Drosophila melanogaster: one gene and its partners. The protein of the gene in region 2 purifies or fractionates together with the protein of the main gene of each other region. This does not show direct contact. Each region holds a gene or a part of one and is shown on either strand. Other genes may lie near its edges.

Region 1 (5,559 bases), on a different chromosome or scaffold from region 2:
GGTCCGTGGCGGTGGCCAAAAAGAATGGCTTTCGCCTGCTGAAGGCCGATGCCACCGGCATCTTCTCGCAGAAGATCTTTCGTTCCCATGGCTTTGAGGTCTTCTCGGAGCAACCCTACAGCAAGTATACGGATGAGAATGGCAAGGTGATCTTGCCCGTGGAGGCGCCCCACATCAAATTGCAGCAGCTCTACAAGGCGATCTGCGCGGATGACCAGGATGAGAAGAAGCAGTCGCTTTAAGGAGTCACCCGGCTGGCTCACATTTGGAACAATAATCTCATTTATTTTCTACATATACATACATTGCATAATCGTTATTGGAATGTTTTCGTACTACAAATATGGAAATTAGTTGGGGGGCGTTTAACGGAAAGTTAAAGCTAGGGAACAATTACTATTGTTCTGTGTTTAAACATAACTATGAAATAACATTGGATTTTCGGACTTTCCGTCGACGGTTTTTGGAGCGTCAATGGAACGCCTCTATAATGTACGAGTAGACGCTGCCTGGCACGTTTACATAAATATAATTTTGTAATTGTTTTTTTTTGTATGGGGACCAACTGCTAACAATACCTAAATAAAGTACACTGTTGTGCCAAAGTTAACCAGACAGCTTTTTCTCTTACCTCCCACTCGAAGTCCCCCCCTACAAGGTCTCCTCCTAAAGTCCTAATATCACAAGCGCAGATTCCAATCATCCGTTCTCATCACCTGGCAACCTGGCGACGGCAGGTACTTCTGTTCATCTGTTCATCAATTCATCTGTTCATTTGTTCATCTGTTCCGCTGGTTTATCCATCTACTACTCCCTAGTTTCCTTCTTCTCGTATATGAAAATGATGTCCTCGTCCGTGCCGTAGGCGCGTCGGGCCGTGTCCATGGACTCGATGAGGCAGCGACAAATGTCTGTGGAACGCAGCCAAAAACGAAAATCAATGAATTTTCAAGGATTGCTACCAAATGGAATACTCACGGCCATCGTGGACCTCGGGATTGTGGTAGAAGAGCTTCTGGGCGGCCATGTCATATCCGCAGAGCACCACATAGTGTCCGGCATACCTTTTGGGTCCATGGAGGCGTGTATTTTGAGCAATGCAGGGTATATGAAAACAGCTTTTCATTCGAGTGTGGATTTAAGGTGGTTTTTTGTGAATCGCCGGTGGCAAGAGGAACTCACCCGAACTTCTCTAGGACATTGCGCTTGCACACCTCGCACGTGAGCAGCGAGGCGTTGGTCAGCAGGATGACGGGTCCGTGGCGGGCCAAATGCCGCAGAATGACCTCCATGTCCACGGTGCGCTGTTCAACGCGCAGTCCATGGGCCCGGGCGTCCTTGAACTTGCGCGTCACGCGCCGTTCGTCCTTGTCGATGATCTTGGAGTAGTACGTGTGCTGCGCGTAGTTGGGATCGATCCCGAGCGTTTGGGTGAAGTACTCGTGGCGCACCTGGCCAAGAAGAGAGTGTCAAAGAAGTGAGCGAATGCAAATGTGCATCACGGCATGCCCACCTGGTAGCGCATCAGCAGATAGCACAGGTCGATGGTCCAGGTGCTCGAGCCAAATCCCTCCTCGCCGCACACGGCATCAAAGTTCCCAAGAAGCTGTTCCCTTTGCTGCGCCGACAGGATCATAATGATGCAGGACAGACCGCAGTCCCAGTTGTAGCGCTGCTGGTAGTGCGTCAGGTTGTAGTGCTTGCTCGGCGGCAGTCCGTTCATTCTGGCCAGCAGCTGGGCTCTTCTTGGCTTCTTGTGCTCCTCGGGTCCTCGAGTCCTTGGCTCCGTGTGCTTCGCGTGCTCCTGTGCCCGCGGCTGCGCTCCTTTGATCCTGGCGTCCAATTGGAAACTGAACTGGGAATGTTTTGGTCTAACAGCTTGGGCCAGTGTGGCCAGGTGCAGCTGTCTGCGGAATGCCAACTGTCGGCTATGTCCAGTTGAAAAAAATGCCAATTGAATTTTTTTAGATATATATTGTAAATATTGTAATTAAATAATATTTATACATAAATTGTGAGTCGCCAAAGGAGTTAGATGTATTTTCCTACAAATCTTGGTTGCTGCTAGGAAATTTTTGGTTTGAAATCTTAAAGGCGCAAAAAATGTTCTAACACTATGTAAATCCTTCTTAAGCCCTTCAAAATTGACAGTTCAGTTAGAATTACCTGCAATTTTAAGACTAAATAACTACTGGCAATTGGTATAAATTTAAATGCAACTGTACGCGAAACTTCAAACATGTATGAAACGATCTGGCAACGTCGAGCTAACTGCATGCAATTTGGCATCGATGTGCCCGATGCACTCCCCCTGATAGTTTCAGCGGGAAACTAAGAGTCCCATTCTAGAATCATCCCCCAAGGACGAAAACATCCCAAATCTCCCTAAAAAAAAAAACAAAAAGCAAGGAATCGAGTAAACACGTTCCACCACCGCTGTGGCAATCCGTGGCTGGTGCGCAACGGCCACACTGACGCGCTGACCAATTTTTAGTTATTAGTGTGACCTTAAGCATTATTATTTTCACGTGTGGCACGCAAACGAGCCAAAAAACCAAGCGCCTATTTAAACAAACAAATCACACGCCCAGCAGAGAGAGCAGCCGGTGACCACCGGTAACGGGAGTAGCTGCAGTTAATCCGACAGGCCCAACAAATTCGCCCGCTAATTGGCGGCGTTTCTCTAGTCGGAACAACAAGAAGAAGAAGCACGTGTGCGGCGTGCCAAAGAAAAAAGGAAAATAAACAAGGAGGCCAGGCCAAGGAGCATAAGCAGAATCCGCATCCGGAGGACATGGTGCCCATCGGAGCCGTGCACGGCGGCCATCCCGGCGTAGTGCATCCGCCACAGCAACCACTGCCCACGGCGCCCAGCGGCCCAAACTCGCTGCAGCCGAACTCGGTGGGCCAGCCGGGGGCCACCACCTCCTCGAACAGCAGCGCCTCCAACAAGAGCTCGCTATCCGTCAAGCCCAACTACACGCTCAAGTTCACGCTGGCCGGGCACACCAAGGCGGTGTCGGCGGTCAAGTTCAGTCCGAATGGCGAGTGGCTGGCCAGCTCCTGTAAGTACATACATCCCTATCCACGAATATCTGGGGGGGAATTTTATGGTACTGAACTGCTATTGGACTGAACAGGCAGCTTTGGCAGCTCAGTTAATGGGAATTGGGATGAAATAAGATCTCGGAAAAGAGAAGAAGCATTTATAGAATACATATTGTACATTCCATACATACAGCACATGCCTATTAAACTTCCACTTCTAACCCTCAGCCGCTGATAAACTAATCAAAATCTGGGGAGCATACGATGGCAAGTTCGAGAAGACCATTTCGGGCCACAAGCTGGGCATCAGCGATGTGGCCTGGAGCTCAGACTCGCGACTCCTCGTGAGCGGCAGTGATGACAAGACGCTCAAGGTCTGGGAGCTGAGCACCGGGAAGAGCTTGAAAACTCTGAAGGGCCACAGCAACTATGTGTTCTGCTGCAACTTTAATCCGCAGTCCAATCTGATCGTCTCCGGCAGCTTCGACGAGAGCGTTCGCATATGGGATGTGCGCACCGGCAAGTGTCTGAAGACTCTACCCGCCCATTCCGATCCCGTTTCGGCGGTACATTTCAATCGCGACGGATCGCTGATCGTGAGCAGCAGCTACGACGGCCTCTGTCGCATATGGGACACGGCCAGTGGACAGTGCTTGAAAACCCTGATCGACGACGACAATCCGCCCGTCAGCTTTGTAAAGTTCTCGCCCAATGGCAAGTACATTTTGGCCGCCACGCTGGATAATACGCTCAAGTTGTGGGACTACTCGAAGGGCAAGTGCCTGAAGACGTATACGGGTCACAAGAATGAGAAGTACTGCATATTCGCCAACTTCTCGGTGACGGGAGGAAAGGTGAGTTCATATCTTATGCACATTTAGGCTTTAACTCACAAGCGTCCATTGTAGTGGATCGTGAGTGGCAGCGAGGACAACATGGTCTACATTTGGAATCTGCAGAGCAAGGAGGTGGTGCAAAAGCTGCAGGGACACACCGATACCGTTCTGTGCACCGCCTGCCATCCCACGGAGAACATCATTGCTTCCGCGGCGCTCGAGAACGACAAGACCATCAAGCTGTGGAAGTCGGATACATAGAGTGGCTGGTATCCAGCTGGAGGACGTTCGATCGGAACACACACATACATTTCTTGGATAATATTATTTTAAAGCGAACAGCCTAATCGTAATTGTAACACCCCCACACCCCCCCACCACGAGCCCCCTTTTTTTTTTGTACGCATAATTTAAAAAAGAAAAGGAACTCTAAAATTCTACGTTTAAATCACACTTTAAACCTCACATTCTACGGCAAAACGGAAAAATTACAAACAAACAAACAAAAACAAAAAAAAAAAACAACAAAAAGTGAAAACAAAAAAAACGATTAATGTATAAATATTTATTAGCCTATTGTATTGGCCCACCATGCAAGCGAGAATATTCCCCCAAAATTGTTTGTAACCTTTGACACAGCCACGCAAACCAACATAACTTATAATGATCTTTCGGTGACGAGAAAACTAAATTTAAGCGTAAAAGATACAACAGGTGCTCGGGGCAGAATCCCAGCGCCAGAAAGAATATATATAAAATACGAAATGTAAATTTTGAATAAAAGAAAACACCGTCTCGGCGGCGCCCAAGTGTCCTTTCAACTTGCGCGCTTTTCGAGGCGAGACACTTAAATGTACAAATTGCATTTTATTCACATAATAAGAGAAGTTTTAATTCTAAAAAAACATACAGTTTAGCAAAATTACGAAACAAACGAACCTTCATTACGGTTTAAAAGCGATAATAAGTACGTTTAATATATTACGGTTTTTAAATGAATGAACACAGGTATAATACTTAACGTAGACGTTTTCTTTAAGTTATTTATTTTTAAACTCTAGCGCCTATTGGAGTGCGACCCTGCGTTGAGTTCGGTTGAAGAGGGCCACACTGCCCGTTCAGTTTGAACGTTTGCCACTGGATTTCGACAACGGCGCGCGACGGTCACTTGGCGAAACGAAAATCGAAAAAACCGACGAATCGAAACTCGGAGATCACGGATTCGATTCACTTGATTCAGAACCTTGCCGAATCCGAATGCCCCTGCGATGCGCGCGCCAACCCGCTGAACAAAAGTCGCCAAGTGAATTTTGCAATTAATTTGCAAATCAATATCGCTCCGCCGCCGTCGCGCACACACACACACACGCAAGCACCCGCACCGCGCACACATACACACACACACACACACATAGGGACCGCGACACGCATAGTGAGAAAGAAGTGGCAATATAAGCAAAAAAAAGAAAAAAAATACAACGGTCGTGGGAAAATCGATTTTCCTTTTAAACAAATCGCTGTTAGCTTGAGCTTTTCCAAGCGCCTCTGCTGCAATTCCTTCGTTTTTTTTTCCTGTGCAAAGTACGCCGAGAGAGCGGCGTGAACCGGTGCAGAGAGAGAGAGATTAAGTGAGAAGGGGTGAGAGAGTGGAAGAAGGTGTTCATTGGCAGAAAAT
Region 2 (6,092 bases):
AACAGCATCGATGCAGTCCAAGGCATGGCGGGAAACATCAGCGGGCAGGGCATCTTGTGGAACACGCAGGGGTACGGTAGTGAAGCGCGGAGCTGTTCCTTCCACGGGCTTAAGGTCCGGTAGGAGTTCGCTCTCATCTAAGAGAATCCGAGCTGCAGCATTCCGGCGGCTTATGCTGACAGTAGCGGCTCCACCTCGCGGCCGATCTGCGTCCGGGCAGGATTGCAGTTCGATGTTCGTACGGATGGTTCCTTCTGTCGGACGGCAGCGATCCACGCAAGACTCCGTCACGCTGCCGGTGAGTTCCTTCCACTGGACCACGTAACGATAGTCGTACGGCGCCAGCACGCGCTCCAGTTGGGCTAGGTTTTTGCGTATTCGGTCTCGCTCCACTTCCGGTTCGGCAATCCTCCGCGGGCGCAATTCCTCCAGTTCGTGGTCCCACTCTCGTACGACAATCTCATTCGGATGGAAGAAGTGCACGAATCCAACACGAGGGGCTGCATCGCCGTAGGGACCACGGGAGGAGCACCATACGTAGTGGACTCCGGGTGGAATCATCTTGACGCCTCGGAAATCCGGACCAATGGTGTAGGCACAAAGATCAATGCCGAATTCCGTGCCCTCGGGTACACCGGCGATGACCAGCACTCCGCCATCAGCCAGGAGGCGTAGGGCTAGCTGCGGATCCATTTTCATGCTGGAGTTGTCCTTGTTCATTGTGAAATATTGTTCGCTTGCAATTATTAGGAAAAAGAAAACAATTGCAAGTGCGGGCCTTTCAGCAAGTTGCCAGATGTGACGGCTATTTCGATAAGTTCTTTCATGTGAGCAGTCTGGCAACACTAGACAAACAATTCTTTCAAGCGGCAAATTCAATTTATATATACTTTTTTTTAAGTAAATCTTTTGTTTGATATAATTACATTGTATTTAGACTTTGTTGATTTTTGTTACAGTGTATATTCTGCATTTACTTAAAATTCTTGCTGTTCTTCACTTTATTGTGTAAGTGGACCATGACTTTATATCTAAACTATATTTATACGTAGTAGTAATTAGTATTGTAAGCTGCGTTTAGTGCCGATATCGTCGAGTATTTGGCGCAGCTCCTCATCCTCGAAGCGACCCTCTAGTGAAGGAATCAGCGCCTTGGCCTCCTCGGGCGCCTCCGGACACAAATTACCCAGTGCCGCCAGTTCGAATTTGTGCAGCTTTTTCTGCATCAGCAAGCTGAATTTGAAATAATTGAATATTACTACTCGTACGTGCTTTGTTCGGTTTTGCTACATTACCTTCGCGCAGACATTATGGTCTCCTTGTTTTTGAACTTTCGAAAACTATCCGTGTAGGCGTACGTCTTCATGAAGACCTCGGAGAACTCTTGCTCCTCGTCGGCGGATTCGTTTTGTCGCTTTCGGTGATCGAGAAGCATGTGCACCTCCGATATCAGCAGCGTCTCGGCATTTTCGAACTCTGAAACAAAGAGAAACGAAAGGGTTTTTTTTTCTTGAATTAGTTACTTGACGACATTCAGGAAATTTACAAGTGAAACATTGGAGAAAAAATTAGCCCTAGCCATAGGACGGTGGTCTGCTGATATGGCCATGTTCCAGCAGAAAATCGTAGATCTGACGCGTTTTGTTCACGTCAATTTTGATGAGACGTCGCGCATCGGCCAGTCGTAGATATCCGAGCTTTGCTTGCTCCGTAACGAGTTGATTCTTGTAGTCCAAATACGACTGCGGAACCAGACGAGCCACACTGCACAACTTTCGCTCGCCATCATCCAGTTTGGAGTAACCAGGCAGATCTGGGATCAAAGAAAAATTATATTCAGTTGGTGTCAGGCAATGAGTAAAGTGTTTCCCACCTCCAATCTCAATGGGACTGGCCTTTCGACGCGTGTTCATCACATATAACTTTGAGTTAATGGCCAGGGGACCAGGATCACCGCTCCTGTTGCTCTCGTAATGCTGCACCAATTGCTGCCAGTCGAAAGCATCTGTTTGCTTCAGCCTGCTGTAATCTCGCTGAGCCTGCTGACGTTCTTTGCTCAAGCGGGCATATAATTTGGCTCCGGAAAGAGTTCGAACGCCGTGCTCCCGCAGATCGTATAGCTTGTGCAGCTGGCTATGCAGCTCCCGATAATAACGCAGAGACTCCAACAGCATATCGAACTTAATGGGGTCAGGACAGATCTGCATGAAGCCCAAGAAACGCATGCAACTCGCATCGCTGCCAAAGGCGTGCACGTACTTGGAAATCCAGCTGACGGTGCGATTGGGCATTATGAGACCGTGTTGCCTCATTATCTTGTAACGACGCTGGCGCTCTCTGTGAGTAAATATGCATATTAGATTTTTTTTAGTAGCTTTCTGTTATAAGATCATACCTGAGGCGATTGTTGTATGCCCGAACTAGTCCGAGTTGCAATTCCTCTGTCACTTCGCGCTCAAACTCACTCTCAGACGCCTCGTTGTCGTCATCCCTGCCCCTATGATCCACCATAATAGATAGCAGACTCTCTGCTGAGGTGTCGTACGGAGTATCGAAGTCTCCTCTTGCACAGCGGTAACCTGCGCTTAGTCTGAACTGCATGGAGGCGATGTCGTCATGACGTGGTGGATCCAAGCTGCGCATTTTGAAGACATACGGCATTCGCTCGGGCACATAGCTGTCCCTCGCATGCTTCAGATTAAGGAGCCGCTCGAATATCCCGCCAAAGTAGCAATCGTGGTAGTGACGACGCACTTCTGCGGGTTCGTGGCGCTGGTCCAGAGCCTGGGAGACCGCCTCCCAGTTGCCATAGCCGTGGGTGCGAAGTGTTTTCAGCAGTATGCGCTCGTCCCGTGCCGTCCAGTGTGGCTCATCGGCGAAAACCTGTATGTTGTCGCGGACTATGATGTAAGCGTGGTTATTGCGGTGAGAAAAGGCCTCCTTTCCACGTGAGAAACATTGCAGGCAGAGCAGGGTGTCGAGGCACTCGGAGCACTTAATGTACGGCTCTGTGAGACTGCAGCGACATGTGGCACACCGATTGGCATCCTTTGTAGCCGATGGAACACTGCTATTCTGGTCCCGCGTCTTTTCCTCCATCTCCTCCAAGTACCTGTGCAACGTGTGCGGATTATACAAAACCATGGAGTTCCTGGTGTGTTCATTCTGATGTGCATGGATGAACCGCTTAACCTGTGGCCCCAGTGGCTCAACTGCAAAGAGGCAATTCAGTGTGGTAAAAATGTGGAGGAGTGCCACTTTTGGGGCACTCGAAGCCAAAGGTTTCAGCCAGTTTCACTTGTAAGTTGCATTTCGGTTGGTGTAGGGCGTTGGTTACCTTTGGGAAACTGCAGGTCGGCGGCGTCCTCATCCACCATATCCACGGGGTTCATAAAAGACATAGTGAGCTAAGAACTGCTCAGTTTGTTAAAGTTTATATTAAGAAATTCTAATTTGCACAATAAAATGTCGCTGTTTTTAGTGATGAGAAAGGCAGGGCTATAACTGGCGAAGAAGCTATCGATAGGTGGGTCGCATCGTGCGTAGATACGTTGGTCACACTAGCAAGCATGTTGAGTTTATCATTCCGGGTGTTTTGATTTTGTTCGGAATTCTTGGTTTTTTTCCAAGAGAGTTATGTCCCTGGTGCCAGAAGCCTCTACCTCGAGAGCGCCCAAGTACTGCTACTTCTTCAAGACCCTGCTGGTGGAGGAACTGGAGCTGGAAACTTCCTACCACAACCTGCACTACGGTCAGTGCGCATTAATTGGACGTCTGGCGTTCAAGGCGAATCAGTACCGCCTAGAAAACGTGCGCGTTAAGTGTTTGCCAAAGTAAGTTTTTCTATATTACCTATCCATCCGGTCCTTACCAATGATGCTGCATCTTTCAGGAAGTACTCCTTGGGCGAGGGCACCGTATCCTTGCTTATTCTTGGCCTTACCCATGACAAAGTCGTCGAAAATCGCGTGAGTACCGGCCGCTACTGCATTGTGCGTGGTGAAGTGGTGCTACATAATGTGCAGCATCCCAAAGGTGCCAAACTGACCGCCGGCGGTGTCTACGACAAGATCAATAGTCTGTCCAACGATCCGTTGGCCCAAAAACAGTATCTCAGCGCGCTACTTGCCACCTACAGACCGGCCATCGACTTATGGTACATCCAGGTCATCGACAGAGCCGAGGACTTGCTGACTCGCAGGCTGGAGATGAGAAGTCTGATCGAGAAATGAACACACACCACCTGACCACCTCGCGAACCAATCCGCAGTTCTATATATTCAGTCAGCTCTTTGGTAACGATTTCGACTGGAATAATTGCAATTGGGGGGGCATTCAAAACGTTACCTGGAAAGAATTCTGGCAGCGTGAGGGGCATGAGCTGCTCGAGCAAAAGTGGCACAAGCGGTTTCCCGAATACAAAGATCTTATCGAGGTGGTTTCGTCGGAGGAGCAAGGCCTTTGGCAGGAACTGTGGGAGAAGCACGCCAGCGATTACAGTGAAAAGTTCTGGTATATATTTAGCTGTGCCTTTGAGAACTACCAACACGATTTGGCCAAATCATTTGGCCTTGACGTCGCTGAAAACTCAGAAGATGTTGAGGAGGACTTGCAGAACCTAAGCCTTACAAATAAGCCAATAAAATCGAAACAGCAAAGGGTCACAGAGAAAGAGGAGGACGAATCATACTTGACTGCCAACGACGATCCCGAGGATTGTGACGAGGAACAACAGCTGCGCCTTCTCGGATTGCCAACATCATTTGCGTCGAAGGCAGATATAATTAATTATAGAAAGGAAAGAAAGACACAGTACGAACTATCTAGCAGCGATAGCGAGGACGATCATGATCTGTTGACCATGGAGAACAACGAAAACGAGGCTCTGCACGGCGTTCAGAGCGGTTCTGTTAAAAAGAAAAAACGACGGCAAAGGCAAATAAAAAAACTCAAGGCCAGGATGCCAGAGTGCATGCAAGAGGATAACAACAAAATGGTCAAGTACTGGGTCAAGCGATTCTCGCTGTTCTCCCGCTTCGATCAGGGCATTCGGCTGGACCGCGAGAGCTGGTTCTCGGTGACACCCGAGAAGATTGCCAAACAAACGGCCCGACGACTGGCCTGCGACGTGATCGTAGATGCTTTCTGTGGATGCGGCGGCAATGCCATTCAGTTTGCAAACACCTGTGGACGCGTAATTGCTGTGGACATCGATGCCGAGAAGTTGGCCATGGCCAAGCATAATGCCGGCATTTATGGTGTGGCCCATAAGATCGAGTTTATCCACGCCGATTTTCTGCAGTTTGCGGCCAGCACAAAGCTGCGCCCAAATGTGGTTTTCCTGAGCCCTCCGTGGGGTGGTCCTGACTACCAAAAGCAGGCCACCTTTGATATCGAAACAGGTCTCCTGCCCGTGGGTGCTAGCCAACTGATGCAGCTGTCCCGTAGCCTGGCATCTGACGTAGCTTTCTTTCTGCCACGCAACGCCAATATGAAGCAGGTGGTCGCTCTAAGTGGAGTTGGGCAGCAGTGCGAGGTGGAGCACAACTATCTGGACACCCGAATGGTTGCGCTCACTGCTTATTATGGTAAAGGAATCATAAAGGGTTCAGTGGGAGAAGATGAGTAGGATTCGATTGAGAGTAATTTTAATAACATCATTGTTTTTATATAAATAAATATATTTAATTTCATACATATGTATAGTTGAATGGATTTAAAAAAAAAAACGGGCTCATAATTTCATGGCATTTTTTGCTTATTATTAGATATAAATCATATTCAAAACGAGCCAATAACATAATATGAAAATAAATCTATGAAAGGCATTTTAACTAATATGTAATACAAATGATTTGGTAAGTATCTTTAATTAAACTCGAAGCATATAAGCACACAGAGTTCACAAATTCCTGTAATTATGGATCAAAGGAAAATGTTGGCTATGGTCAACAACTTTTTTGTTCATTGTTTATCGCCTTAAGTTTTTCCCTCTTTTTGCCACATAGAAAGATAGGAGAAAAGTTGACTAATGAATAAAGCCGCCTCACATGTAACGCAAGAGTAAAATCTTTTCACCCATCCCTTCAGTG
Region 3 (6,646 bases), on a different chromosome or scaffold from region 2:
CGAACTCTACTAGCAGTTTTGGCAGCGTGGCTGAAAACATGACCGTCTGCCGGGACGATGGCAATCTGTGCAACGTTTCGTTCAGTTGCTCGCCGAAGCCCATCTCGAAGAGTCGATCGGCTTCATCAAACACCACGTACTCTAGAGAGCAAATAAATTAATTCCTGCTTTTATGGTCCGCAACTATCAACTCACCTATGGAATTTAGCTTCAAGTCCATTTCTACGCACAAATGAAGAAAACGACCTGGCGTTGCAACAATTACGTCCGGACAGGTATGTATGGCCGAGAACTGTGAGTCCATGGAGTCGCCACCTAGCACCAGAATGCTCTTCAGTTCCATAAAGCGGCCCAGCTCCTTTATGAACTTATACGTCTGCACAGCCAGTTCGCGCGTCGGAGACAGGATCAGGGCACGGGCCCCCTTTGTGGGCTCGCGCCTCTGTAGCTTTTCAAAGAGCGGAATCAGAAAGCAGGCCGTCTTGCCAGAGCCCGTCTTGGCCATTGCCACCACATCGCGTCCCTCCAGGATCAGCGGAATCGTTTTCCGCTGTATGGGGGTGGGAACCTTGTAACCCCGCTTGGTGATGCCCTTTATCAGCTCGAAGCCCAGGCCCATCGACTGGAATCCACCACTCTTGTTCTTCTTGGACTTGGACTTGAGAATGTCGGCGCCCCGGTCGCTGGTGCCGGCATCGTTGTCCAGTGATGGAAAGCCTGGTATTTCATCCGCCTGCTTCTTACGCTGCCAATGCAAAGTATGTATTGAAAGCTAAGCAACAAGAGACAATCCTCTTACCATATTTTTTTTGTTTTGAATAAAAACAACACGTGCAAAATCGATGACTATTCCACACTATCGATAACTCCATAAATTATCCAACACTGATTTCTTAAAAATTGACTAACGCTACAATATACCGCATTGTAATTGGCGCTTAGATTTTCATTTGATTAACTCGCGTTTTATTATTTTAATATTTACTATTTTGAGTAGACCATCTTTTAAATCGACCATATATACACTGCCGATTAAAATTAGAGGATAGCTTACATATGCCCAAAGGGAAAAAACCTCATAAGACCTCGACCAAACGGGAAAATAACAGATATAAAAGACTGGTGCGATTTAATAGCTATGTAAATGTATTAAATAAATGCTACATCTTGTGCAGATTATGGATTGAAAATGAATTTTTTAAACGATATATTTCTATCGACATCCGAATTGGTTTAAAGCTCTCATAGCATTCAAGTTATTAAGGTTTCGATAAGAAATGGTATGAAATCGTCATTAAACTGGGTGCTTTACAAATGCACTTATCGGCTGAATATCCTAAATATACCTTATCGAACTTACGCTAAACTTATCTTTGCATTAACTAAACGTCCTCTCCAAAATCCAAGTCCGCCTCCGACTCTTGAACCAGCACCATCTGCTCCAGGCGGTCAATGCGCCTCAGCATTTCCTCCTTTTCCCGCTGAAAGGAGTCGGCCCGCCGCCGCAGGTCTTCGTTTTGACGCCGCAACTCGTGAAGCTGGCGACAGATCTCAGAAGAAGTTAGCAGCGGCATCACGTTCGGAGATTTCGGCGACTGCTTCGTCGCATTGACGATTGTCTTGCCAGGTGCCGCCCCGTTGTTTACTGCGCCTTGGCCGGATCCTGCCGAGAGTGAAGGTCGCAGCTGTATCGTCTGGACGGTGCCCACTTGTCCCCTAAGCGAACTGCCCGACGCGGGATGGCCTGAAGGCAGTGGGGATGGGACCGCGGCTTCGTTCTGGCTGTGTGATTCTTCTAGCGCAGTGAGATCCTGCGGCCTTTGCAGGGAGGGGAGCTTTAACTAATTAAGCGGGGTTCAAGTAAAGTAAGGAGGTGAGCTCAGAAACTATTTAATATTCACCTGTCGAGCCTGCAACTGGCGCATGTTGACTAGCTTTGTGCCATCGGGAAGATGCCGCACCATTCCAGAGCTGTCGATAAGGCAAGATCTTATATATATCTCCCAAATATGTGAAATTAACGTACCTTGCCAATGAGGCGGGTATTTTCTGAAGGGACTTTGCCGTGCTGTCCGATCCGTAGAGTTTCTTAAAATCAGTCAACGAGATAATGCGTATATTCTGCCCTCAAATATTAATTATTATACGAATTAGCGAAACAAAACAATGAAATGCATACCTTGTTCTTGGCAACTCCCGCCGGTGACGGAAGATCCTTCTGCTTCAGGACATTCATCCGAATCTTGGGATGAGAATTATTAACATTTGTGCGGAGCGCTGCGACCGAAGGCCGGGCGTTTCCGTTCGTGGATTGCTTGCCGCTGATGCCCGATTTTGTTTCGTGCAGCAGCATGCGTCCTCCTTCAGAGAGGACAAGTTGGCGTCCATTCTGCAACGCAGTGTTCAGCATTTCTTTCGAGTCCTCGTCATCGTTGTCCTGCACCATGTCTGCGATTTCGTGCGTCTTTAGTATGTAAAGCGCAGTGTTCCGCAGGACGTTTGCATCTGGCAGGGAAAATAGGTTTTTCGTTAAATATTCGTTTAATATCTCCGAATCTAGTAACTTACGGCCTCGCATGTTTTCTAGGACATCCATTCGTTCTTCAACCGACATTTCTTTGTCGTCCACGGTTTTAATTACTTCCGGTTCGTCCATTATTGAGCTGACAGCTTCATTGGTTTCCTTCTGCAAATCGATGGGGAATAAATATGATATGATTTTTCTTTCTGCGAATCAATTGGGAATAAAGTATTTGTCACAATTTTTTAGGATCAGGAATGTAGGCCAAAGTTGGGAATGTTCTTGCTATTATTTGTGACAACCTAATACAAGTTGTCGAAAGTACATACTTTGGTCTTATGTGCTTGTTGCTGAAGTTTGATAAGCGCAGCGTGGGAAAAGGCAGCGATCAATTGTATTGTTAAGAATAAGGAACAGCCAAGCGAAACGTAAGTAAAACCTCATATTAAGTAGTAAATATGGCCTTCAGTGGATTTCTTCAAGCGCACTCACCTCCGATTCCTCGTGTAACTTCTTACTGGCCTGCGCCTGTCGTGCCGCTTCCAACTCCGCCAGCACATCCGCTTGTTCCGTGTACACGGCAAGTCCGATCGGCGTCTTGCCGAATTTGGAGACCAAGGTGACATCTGCCTGGCACTTGAGTAGCAGGCGCACAATTCCCTTGTGTTTTTTCTCGACCGCCCAGTGCAGCGGGGTCATGCGAAGCTGACAGGAATGTTGGTTAGTCATTTTAAACAGTCATTTATTTATATATTCTTACCATGTCGCGGGAGTTGACGCTGCACTTTAGCGCTAGCAGCAAGCTGACTATCCGCTCGTGACCGTAGTAGCAGGCTAGGTGGAGCGGCGTTCGGTCTACCTTGGTCTTGCCATCCATGTTAATGCCCCCCTGCAGGAGGATTTCGCAAATCTCCAGCTGATTGTTCATGGCGGCAAAGTGAAGTGCCGACATACCTAGCCAGTCGGAAGCGAAGGGAGCTCCATGCGCTAGCGCCGCCTTGACCCCAGCTACATCGCTGTCTCTGGCGCACTGGAGCAGCTGTTTGCCCAGGTCAACGCATGTGGCCGGACCCACCAGGATCCCCTTCTTTTGCTGGACATCCCCTTCGGTGCGCTATGAAGGAGTCGCCTCGGTTAGTGTGAATTACAAGCAAGGTACCGCGAGTCTTACGATCTCGTAGTGCATCAGGTTGGAGTTCTCCATGGGGTAGACGTGACCATCCGCTCGGAGAGTAGCAACGACTTTGCTGGCGCCGAGACTGTGCATTTTAGCAGAAGAACACTTTCAGGGACGAGTGAAGGCCTATAATTGGCATTACTTCAATAAGTTTATTAAGCAAAGGCTAAGAATGGCTTTAATTATGAATGTTTACGTTTTTAGATCTCTGCGGTGTGACCAGACATAGAAAAGGGCTTATACTCACCTATCAGATAAAATTGTTTTTGAAATAGCTTTCGTCATATAGCATCAATAGCATTAGTTTCTTCAATCGTCTAAAATCATGTTAAACTTAAATCATTTTCTGCGTTGCCGTTTTTTACATTTAAATTTAAATCACAGCTAAATCCTGTAAGACATTACTTGATCAAAGTAATAATACGAAGGATAAGGCAATCGAAGCTGAATTTATTGGTATATACCAAAAAGGAAGAATAGGTATCGATAATCTCTACATGACGAAAGTTTCTGATCGATATCAAGCACGGTCACACTTTATCTTATCGTTTTTACAGTTCGCGGTTTCGAGGTTTGCAACGCGCAATGAGCAAACTTAAACTAATTTTGTGACTCGGTAATCAAGTAAATGTGCAGCGGTCTAATTGAAATCAATGTTGCACGTGCAAATTACAGCTTGCGAGAGCAGCAATCATTTTTGTTCAGTTTTTTAAAGCTTACGAGGTATGAAAAGAAGAGGAAGTAACGGCAATGCCAGAAGCTTGTTGCTTTCTCCACTCCTCTTTCATCCTCGTCATGTGTGTGAGTGTGCAAGTGTATGTGTTTGCTAGGCTTAGAATTCCCAGTGAATATTGGGGAAATGTTAATTTAAAATGCAAAATATGTGATGGATAGCAAATGGATACGTACAAACAATAGTAAGTACATGTGTGTAGTCTTTCCGATTTTTTTCATTACTGGTGTTAAAAAGAAGAGACTAACAATATTCTTCATGCTCTTGAGCGGCCATTATATTCTAGGTGACCATTGTTGATCTAAAACAAAATAGAGAGCATAATTTTATGTTTCAATTTCTTTCTTCCGCCGCCATTGTATTCTGGGTTGATAAGGAAGATTTTAAGCAATTAAAATATATCTTCGTCTCTTTCTTCCACCGCCATTTTACTTTGCGGTGGTAAGGATGAAAGAATGAGATGCAAGCTTAAGATCTCTAAAGCAGCCATTTTTTTCTGCGGTGTGCTATTGGTCTTCCTCTTAAATTTAAAATTTATAAATTTCTTAAAAATATAGCAATATTGGCTACTATTTTTATCCATATTTCGCAAAGTTAAATGTAAACCGAAATTCGGATTTTTTGAAGTTTTTATAATCAACGAGATAGATTTGCAATCAAAATTTTTACCTTATCCTAATGAGAGGGATATATTTATTTTGCAGGGAAATTGCGTAAGAGTTCAAAGAGCTTAGTTCATAGGTGAGTACATCCACATAATTCTTATGAAAAATATAAAAATGGGCTGATTAAAATGATTGGTATTATGGAAATTATTATTGAAAAAATATGAAATTTACATTTTAAAAAGTGTTATTCGCGTTATTACTCAGTTTGTAAATAGCGGGCATCAATTGTGCATAGTTTGAAGGTAAGTTGCCCAATAAATGGCGCAAAGCTCGTAACCGCGAATTATATATGTATGTACATATACGATAAAAATAAAGTGTGGCCTTTGCTTGGATAAAAAAATCGTCCGAGTCGCCGGATATCCATATTATCGCTTTCAGAAAATTCGATATCATCGATAGGTGTTTCCCTTTCAAAAGTCTTCGTCCGATTTGGTCCGTTTGACTACTTTTATCTGGTGCATACCCGATTTGACTGCTTGGACGGAGTGGGATGTGTGAATGAACACTAAAACGCTTGAAACTTGAGAAATTAGGGAAGTAGACGGGTAGCGTCAGTTTGTTTGAGAAGATTAACAAGCCCACAAACTGCACAAAACTTGCAAGGCCATTTTATTATTTGTCTATCCATTTTCGATCGATATGGCAACAACATTTAAGCCATGCCCACTCTAATGCGTCAATAAATGCGACTAATCCAGGCGGGCCCCCAAGTTAACTTGGCCCTCCTCATCGAGTCAAGCGCTTCCTTCGAAGAATGATTTACCGTTGATCATACCGGGAAGCCTTTTTTGGTCTTCAGGGGAGGTAGAGACTACATGTGGTATTAAGATGAAAAAACTAAATGCGTACATCAAATCAAAAGTATTCTTATTAATCCAAGTGAATTATAATATTTATTTTGGCACCTTGTAAATGTGACAAGTGATTAGAAATGTGGTTCTTCTTAAAGATATAAATGTACATCATAATATGCTAGAGTACTGAGGCACTATTATTTATATACTCTCCCGTGTGCGACAGACTAAATGATTCATAATGAATATGAATACCAGAGTTCACAGATGAGCAATAATCTCAGTTCCTGTTAAAGTGATGTCACTGTCGGCTTGTAGGGAGAGTCTGTGAAGGAAAATATCAATGTTAAAAGAAGATAAATTAAAGCAATAAGATGAACACCAACCTGAAGATTTTAGATCGCCTTTCTCATCGAACTTGTATACGCGAGCATTAATAATACTCAGATCTGTCTGACTTGATTCCCTGTAAAAAAAAAAAATGGGCAATTAAAATATTATAGCTTCTATTCGAATATTTCAACTTACACATTAATGGCCCACCAGGATTTGACGTGCAAATTCTTGCCAAGGAGCAGAATAAAACCAGCTATGGCCAGGCCCAGAATGCAAATTCCACTCCAGAAGTCAATGATGAAGAAATGCTCTCTCACTCTGGCCATTATATACACGACTATTTCTCGGATCCAGACCGCAAACACGCCCACTATGTAAGCGCTAAAGGCATAGAAACTGCAGGAATATAAAAGA
Region 4 (6,028 bases), on a different chromosome or scaffold from region 2:
CCAAGTTTGGACAACCTTTGGGCATACGAACTGTGGTCGTTGTGGGTGGTTTGTCAAGAGAGGAGCAGGGCTTCCGCCTGCGATTGGGCTGCGAGATTGTCATTGCTACGCCAGGTCGTCTCATTGATGTGCTGGAAAATCGGTATTTGGTGCTGAACCAATGTACATACATTGTCCTCGATGAAGCCGATCGTATGATAGACATGGGCTTCGAGCCAGATGTTCAAAAGATCTTGGAGTACATGCCCGTCACCAACCTGAAGCCCGATACCGAGGAGGCTGAGGACGAAACAAAGCTGATGGAGAACTTCTACACTAAGAAGAAGTACCGCCAAACCGTGATGTTTACGGCAACGATGCCTCCGGCTGTGGAAAGATTAGCTCGCACATATCTCCGGCGACCGGCAACGGTTTACATCGGATCTGTTGGCAAGCCGACAGAGAGAACAGAGCAAATAGTGTACATGATGGGCGAGAACGACAAGCGCAAGAAGCTTATGGAGATTCTTTCGAGGAAAATCGATCCACCAGTTATTATCTTTGTTAATCAAAAGAAGGGCGCCGATGTTTTGGCTAAGGGTCTGGAGAAACTCGGCTACAACTCGTGCACATTGCACGGTGGCAAGGGTCAGGAGCAGAGAGAGTATGCTTTGGCTGCTTTGAAGTCAGGCGCAAAGGACATCCTGGTGGCCACCGACGTCGCTGGTCGTGGTATCGACATCAAGGACGTGTCCTTGGTTATTAACTATGACATGGCCAAGACCATCGAGGATTACACACATCGTATCGGTCGTACGGGTCGTGCCGGCAAAACCGGTTGTGCCATTTCGTTTGTCACCAAGGACGATAGCGCTTTGTTCTACGATCTAAAGCAATGTGTGTCTGCAAGTCCTGTCTCGACCTGTCCGCCGGAGCTAATGAATCACCCGGAAGCGCAGCACAAGCCTGGCACGGTGGTTACCAAAAAGCGCAGGGAGGAAAAAATATTCGCCTAAATTTGGCAAATTCTAAGCAGAACTACTTTAGGTTAAAATTTAAAACTAATAAAGTTGGGTGCGCCAAAGCCATACCTTGGCAACCAAAAATTCTCTTTCGAAATAGTCTTTTGAAACTTTAGATTCATAAACCATTTATTTGAAAAAAGTCTCATCTTTGTAATCTCAAAAAGAAGGCATTTCTGCTCTGTTTCGAGTCCAGAGGCAGATACTTGTCATAAAAGTCCAAGATGATTTCCTCCATCTTAAATCCGAATTTCTGGTACAACATGACGGCCGCGTTGGTGGCGGAAACGTGCAACGTTATGTCCTTGGACATACATGTCTGGATAAGGTGATATAACATGAAGCTGGCGATGCCACTGCGTTGCCAGCACGGCCGCACCGCCATGAATGAGATGTAGGCCTCGTTGTAACCTACGTCGGGCACTAGGAATCCGCAACCGATGACCAGTTTCTTGTACAACGCCACTACACTGTAGTCCGGGTAGCTCAAACACTCGCTTACTAAAAGGGAAAAAATCATACAAATTTGTACATTAAAAAAGCTAAAAAGAAAATCATGAAACCCACCATCAATGTTTGGCCAAAAAGTACTTTGGAGTAATGCGTTTACGGCCGGAATATGCTGCGGTCTCACAAAACAGAAGTCGATGGTAGATCTTGTGGGATGAGATCCGTTTACTCTATGCTGCAGCTCGCACATAAGCTTCAGCCATGGAGGAGCCATCGTTTCGCTCCGAAAGATAAATGGATGAAGAACTCTTTGAGAGTAGGGCGATTCAAAGAGCTCGTATTGAGTGCATCCCGCCAGGCGGGCGTGAAAGGAGCTCCTTGCATCTTGTCGTGAATGGGCTAACAACTGATATCTGTCAAGAATTTCGGCCTTCTGATGACCCAGCATCTTTAGGCGTGCTCTTCCCAGGGGATCTATGTGCTCGTCCAAGTTAAATATGTGTCGATTGTGGTCCCTTTTCCATTTTCGAAGAGAAAGTTTTCGATATAGGCGCCGCACATAGGCAGGTATGGATATGTGGCACTGATGCTCCAGTGCGAATATTCTATCGAGTCGCTGGTACAACTTCTGTTCTTCGTATGCATTTATTAGTTTGAGATTTTCGCTAGGAATGGCCATGTCATCGGGATCCTGCGCCTCCTGCAACCAGGGCCAATTTCGCCGTGGTTGTCTGACAAATCCACTCGGTTTGCAAGGCTCTAGGATAGAGGATTTGCTATTTGTCGTGACGTCATCATCTTGCATTATCTCTTCTAGTGGTTCCTCTTTGATGCTTTCGTTTGCCTCTTGCGCCTGGTAATTTGTAACCTGTACGATGCGTGGCTGATAGTCGGGTGATTCGTCCTCTTCTGGCTTTTCATCTTCTACCTCGCCTTCTTTTTGTTCCTCGCTGCTTTCGGCTGCAGGTTCTTCTGTTGATATGGGTTTGGTCTCATCAGCGGTATTTGGTATGGCAAAATTTGTATCCATGTCGAAAAGACCTTCATTATTCAAAGGTGCGTGAAGCAACGGCTCGGTCATGAAGAAATCATTTTTACCCGCTCCAATCAGGGGTGGGGGCATTATGCCTGGTAGGTTACCAAACATGGTAAAATCATCGCTTTCCAAACTTTCAGCCAGAAAATCCATCAGGCCTGCTTGGACCATGCTCATAGGCTGATTCTGTGGTTCTTCCTCCTTCTGACTTGGTGGCGCTATATTTTCTTGAAGAATTGGTGGCCCTGGAAGCGTTTCCTGTGACAAGGGTGAAGGTTGTGTTTGTATCTTTGGCAAACGGCCCATGTAGGGACTGGAATAAAAGTGAAAGATTTTAATGAAAGGAACGCATAGTTGTATTCAAAATTAATTATCTTACATTGTTCGCGCACAGCCCTCTGTTGAACTGGGTTTCTCAGCTTCTGCTTTAATAAGCGGTGGGTTATCCTGGGCATGATCCGCCACTGAGATCTCGCTGCTACAGCTGGTCTCGTCCGCTGCAGGCAACCGCTTTTCAATACGCATTTGTAGCCGCAACTGTTGCTTTTTCTCATCTGAAATGTGACGACTTGTGAAATCTATCATATCATTAACTTAAGTGGCACTTACATTCTTTGAGAACGCTTCTTGGGGTTTGAAAGGGCTTGGCCAGTTTCCACCAGCCGTTCTCCTGAAAGACATCCAGACCAGACTGAAAGTACTCCGGACTGTTGTGGGACAGTGCGCCGGATACGGAACCAGTCCATTGCTTGCGACGCCGCCTGAACAAGGGGAATAAATTGAATGTGTTCTCCGGAAATTATTCATTTACGAATACTTACACATTGGGACCGAATATATAGTTCCAGTTCTTGTCCACAAAACTGATGATGTGCGTGCGCCAATGGAAGAATCCATGGTGTCCCAAGCCCTTTTGTTTGATGGACAGATTGTAGAGCGTTAGGGTGAGCACCAGCAGCCAAGGTATCCTTTGGCGCACGATCACTTCCTTAATGGGTTCTAGATCTGAGGGTATGACCGATTCCTTAGCTTTATCCAGCACACACTTGACGCACGTGAACTCGAAGAAAACGTCGCCTAAAAGATCTCCGGGCGTGCAAGCATGCGGCAGGCATTTGATGTGAACCATCCGCCTGCATTCCTGGCACTCCAGGTAGTTGTCGTCCTCCACCGGCGATTCACAGTAGCGGCATGGTCCCTGGGGATCATCCCAGTTACTGGGCCGATTCATTTACTCAGTAAAACAGCACAAATTGCAAGTTAAAAACAATCAACAAAATAATGTGTTGTTTGTGTGTTACCGTTTCGCACTTTTTGGTTTATACCATATATATGAGAAGCTTACATTTTGAAAATACCAAAAAATCGCACTGTGCTCGGTTCAAATTTGTCAATAATTTGAATTGGGAAAACAAAAAATAAAATTAATTTGTATTCTTAATTGATCTTTTCTGAAGCACTACAAAACATATTATTATTAAGCACTTATTTATTTATTAACATTGCCGTTTTAAAATGCCGAAGATGTCAGCATTAACATAATTTAAAATAATTTTTTATTGTTAAAATGTCATAAATAAGCATTTTTAATTAATATGGAACAGAGACAAGGCTATGGTCTTCGCATATTATATACCCTCTTCTCAGGTGTATTCAACATTTTCTTGTCACATTTTTAGAAATTGCAAGCAAATATCAAAACACTTTTTAAAAGTTTTGAGCTCTTGGTGGGCGTTAGAGTGGGCGTGGCATTCTTCTGAAACAAACTGTGATGCGTCTACATGTCTAGAATCTGATTGCTCCATCTTAGCTTCCTAACTTTTAAGTTCCCGAGATCACAGCGCTTATACGGACGAACAGAAGGACACGTTTTAATCGACTCGTCCACTGATCCTGATTACATATATATGCTTAATACTGTCGGGAATGACTTTTTCTTTTGTTATTTCTTATGCCAGTTACCTACTTTTCAACGAATCTAGCATATCCTTATGCCCTTATATACACTATATAAAAGATCCCGATTGTTTTTTATGTTCTCCCTATCTAGAAGATAAGAATCCGCTTGATTAGTACAGTCCCGTTTCGCTTGATCAAGCATGCGTTTGTCACGCCCTACGCCCACCAAGCACATTAGTACCAACGCCCACCACCCACCACCCAACGCCCAGCGTCCTTTGGCCATGCAACGAAAATGACATTAATGGGCTCTTTACGGCTTACGCATAATTAAGGCTGTTTCCGGCAGACCATCGACCATCGGACCTGGCCCCATTGCTTTTGGCCCGGTCAGTGTGTTGTCTTAAGCGGGCCTAATTAGGCATCGCCGGCTGCTGCGTTCTGGCGAAGCTGTTGCTTCTGCTTCTGCTTCTGCTGTTGTTGTGTGTTTGATGAAGTGCATGATTGGTTTATGGACTGAAGTGGGATGGTCGAAACTGCAGGCCGGCTAAGTGGGGTATTCAGTTGAGAACCAAAGCTGAACGGATCCACAATTGTTTCTTTTGTAAATCACTTTCTATTTGCCGAATGATTATTACTGCAAAGCATGCAGTTTGTGCATCTTACAGGATATGCACCTATTTACGATTTCACTTCAACACTCATCGTTTTCAATTCAATTTGAATATTGCACTTCAAGTTCTTCCCTGCCTTTAATATCTGTAGTTGAATTCCTTTCAACTTGCTTGTCTGGCGCCTCGAGGAGATTTTCATTTAATTCGCGACTGCCCGCTGGCAAGTCGAAAAGAGCGAAAAATATGGTGAAACAAATTAATTTGTTGGTGCTACTACAGCCAAAAGTATATCCCCGAATTATGTTTTAAAGTATATCTATATCTTAGTTTTGCGAAAGTTAAAATGAGTTTCACTCATAAATCACTTAAAGCTCGAGGGTAAATATTTTCTGGAAAGAGCTTGACAAATTGGATAGTCGTTTACTAGCTGATTATGACATTTACAGATGCGATGCTGGTTAGAATTTGTTTGGCCACCCATTTTGTTCATAACAACCGTATTTGCTCTCAATCACCAGACTTATTGCACCTTAGCTCCACGGCCATGGCTTGACCGTTTTCCGAACGATTTAAGGCCAGGTCCTGGCACAAAGGGAAAAGTAAGGGAAGGATATGGGGGCATCCCCCCATCGTGAGGGGCAAACAAACGCCGTCTGGCTGTCACTTAATCGAAGCCATTAGCGTTATTAGTGGGGCTGCTACCAGCCGATGCACTGAGAAAATATATACGATGCTCGATGAATATTTGATTAAATAGCATTATAAGTTATATAATTTAACAATAATTGTTAAATTCTTTGCAGTCAGGTGTAATTGTGTCTGGATCTCTATTACACTTCTTTAGTAGATACAAAACAGAAATTAAAAATAAATTGTAAGCTATAAGAATAAATATTTTATTAACTTTAAAACATATATTTTAAGAACAAATTATGTTTTGATTTCCTTGATCATTTGTATGATTTATGTTTTATATGCATCTATTATTCCCACGCCTGACTGGCGGCCAAGTAGAGGGCAAAGAGTGT

Evidence for each region.
Region 1: the proteins of Ada2a (region 2) and wds purify together in Drosophila melanogaster (affinity purification with mass spectrometry, with the first as the bait; 3 studies listed by BioGRID). This does not show direct contact.
Region 3: the proteins of Ada2a (region 2) and Atac3 purify together in Drosophila melanogaster (affinity purification with mass spectrometry, with the first as the bait; 3 studies listed by BioGRID). This does not show direct contact.
Region 4: the proteins of Ada2a (region 2) and Atac2 purify together in Drosophila melanogaster (affinity purification with mass spectrometry; 3 studies listed by BioGRID, with this or other methods). This does not show direct contact.

Annotation. Positions count from the first base shown.
Region 1 is NC_004354.4:2,583,485-2,589,043, forward strand, and holds wds (will die slowly), read left to right. Parts: upstream 1-2,495; 5' UTR 2,496-2,794; coding exon 2,795-3,065; intron 3,066-3,276; coding exon 3,277-3,902; intron 3,903-3,956; coding exon 3,957-4,145; 3' UTR 4,146-4,733; downstream 4,734-5,559. Other genes in the region: AANATL7 (arylalkylamine N-acetyltransferase-like 7), read left to right, coding at 1-242; CG13760 (uncharacterized protein), read right to left, coding at 808-911, 979-1,118, 1,183-1,451, 1,514-1,723.
Region 2 is NT_033777.3:18,251,980-18,258,071, forward strand, and holds Ada2a (transcriptional adaptor 2a), read right to left. Parts: upstream 3,509-6,092; 5' UTR 3,402-3,508; coding exon 3,338-3,401; intron 3,258-3,337; coding exon 2,396-3,257; intron 2,338-2,395; coding exon 1,575-2,337; 3' UTR 1,477-1,574; coding exon of another isoform or gene 1,296-1,476; intron 1,234-1,295; coding exon of another isoform or gene 1,059-1,233; 3' UTR 864-1,058; downstream 1-863. Other genes in the region: CG12320 (uncharacterized protein), read right to left, coding at 1-720; Polr2D (RNA polymerase II subunit D), read right to left, coding at 1,059-1,233, 1,296-1,476, 3,338-3,401; moi (modigliani), read left to right, coding at 3,637-3,833, 3,893-4,232; Tgs1 (trimethylguanosine synthase 1), read left to right, coding at 4,229-5,629. UniProt on the Drosophila melanogaster protein: Component of the histone acetyltransferase (HAT) complex ATAC; predominantly involved in acetylation of histone H4, including at Lys-6 (H4K5ac) and Lys-13 (H4K12ac).
Region 3 is NT_037436.4:323,854-330,499, forward strand, and holds Atac3 (Ada2a-containing complex component 3), read right to left. Parts: upstream 4,140-6,646; 5' UTR 3,946-4,139; exon of another isoform or gene 3,825-3,945; 5' UTR 3,789-3,824; coding exon 3,693-3,788; intron 3,636-3,692; coding exon 3,282-3,635; intron 3,227-3,281; coding exon 3,014-3,226; intron 2,872-3,013; coding exon 2,851-2,871; intron 2,687-2,850; coding exon 2,569-2,686; intron 2,506-2,568; coding exon 2,180-2,505; intron 2,122-2,179; coding exon 2,027-2,121; intron 1,972-2,026; coding exon 1,902-1,971; intron 1,842-1,901; coding exon 1,383-1,841; 3' UTR 1,132-1,382; downstream 1-1,131. Other genes in the region: CG32344 (uncharacterized protein), read right to left, coding at 1-141, 196-745, 800-802; mthl9 (methuselah-like 9), read right to left, coding at 6,187-6,221, 6,283-6,362, 6,425-6,628.
Region 4 is NT_033779.5:18,608,461-18,614,488, forward strand, and holds Atac2 (Ada2a-containing complex component 2), read right to left. Parts: upstream 3,790-6,028; 5' UTR 3,719-3,789; coding exon 3,309-3,718; intron 3,249-3,308; coding exon 3,097-3,248; intron 3,042-3,096; coding exon 2,867-3,041; intron 2,801-2,866; coding exon 1,569-2,800; intron 1,503-1,568; coding exon 1,147-1,502; 3' UTR 1,116-1,146; downstream 1-1,115. Other genes in the region: CG10333 (uncharacterized protein), read left to right, coding at 1-995; IFT46 (intraflagellar transport 46), read right to left, coding at 5,984-6,028.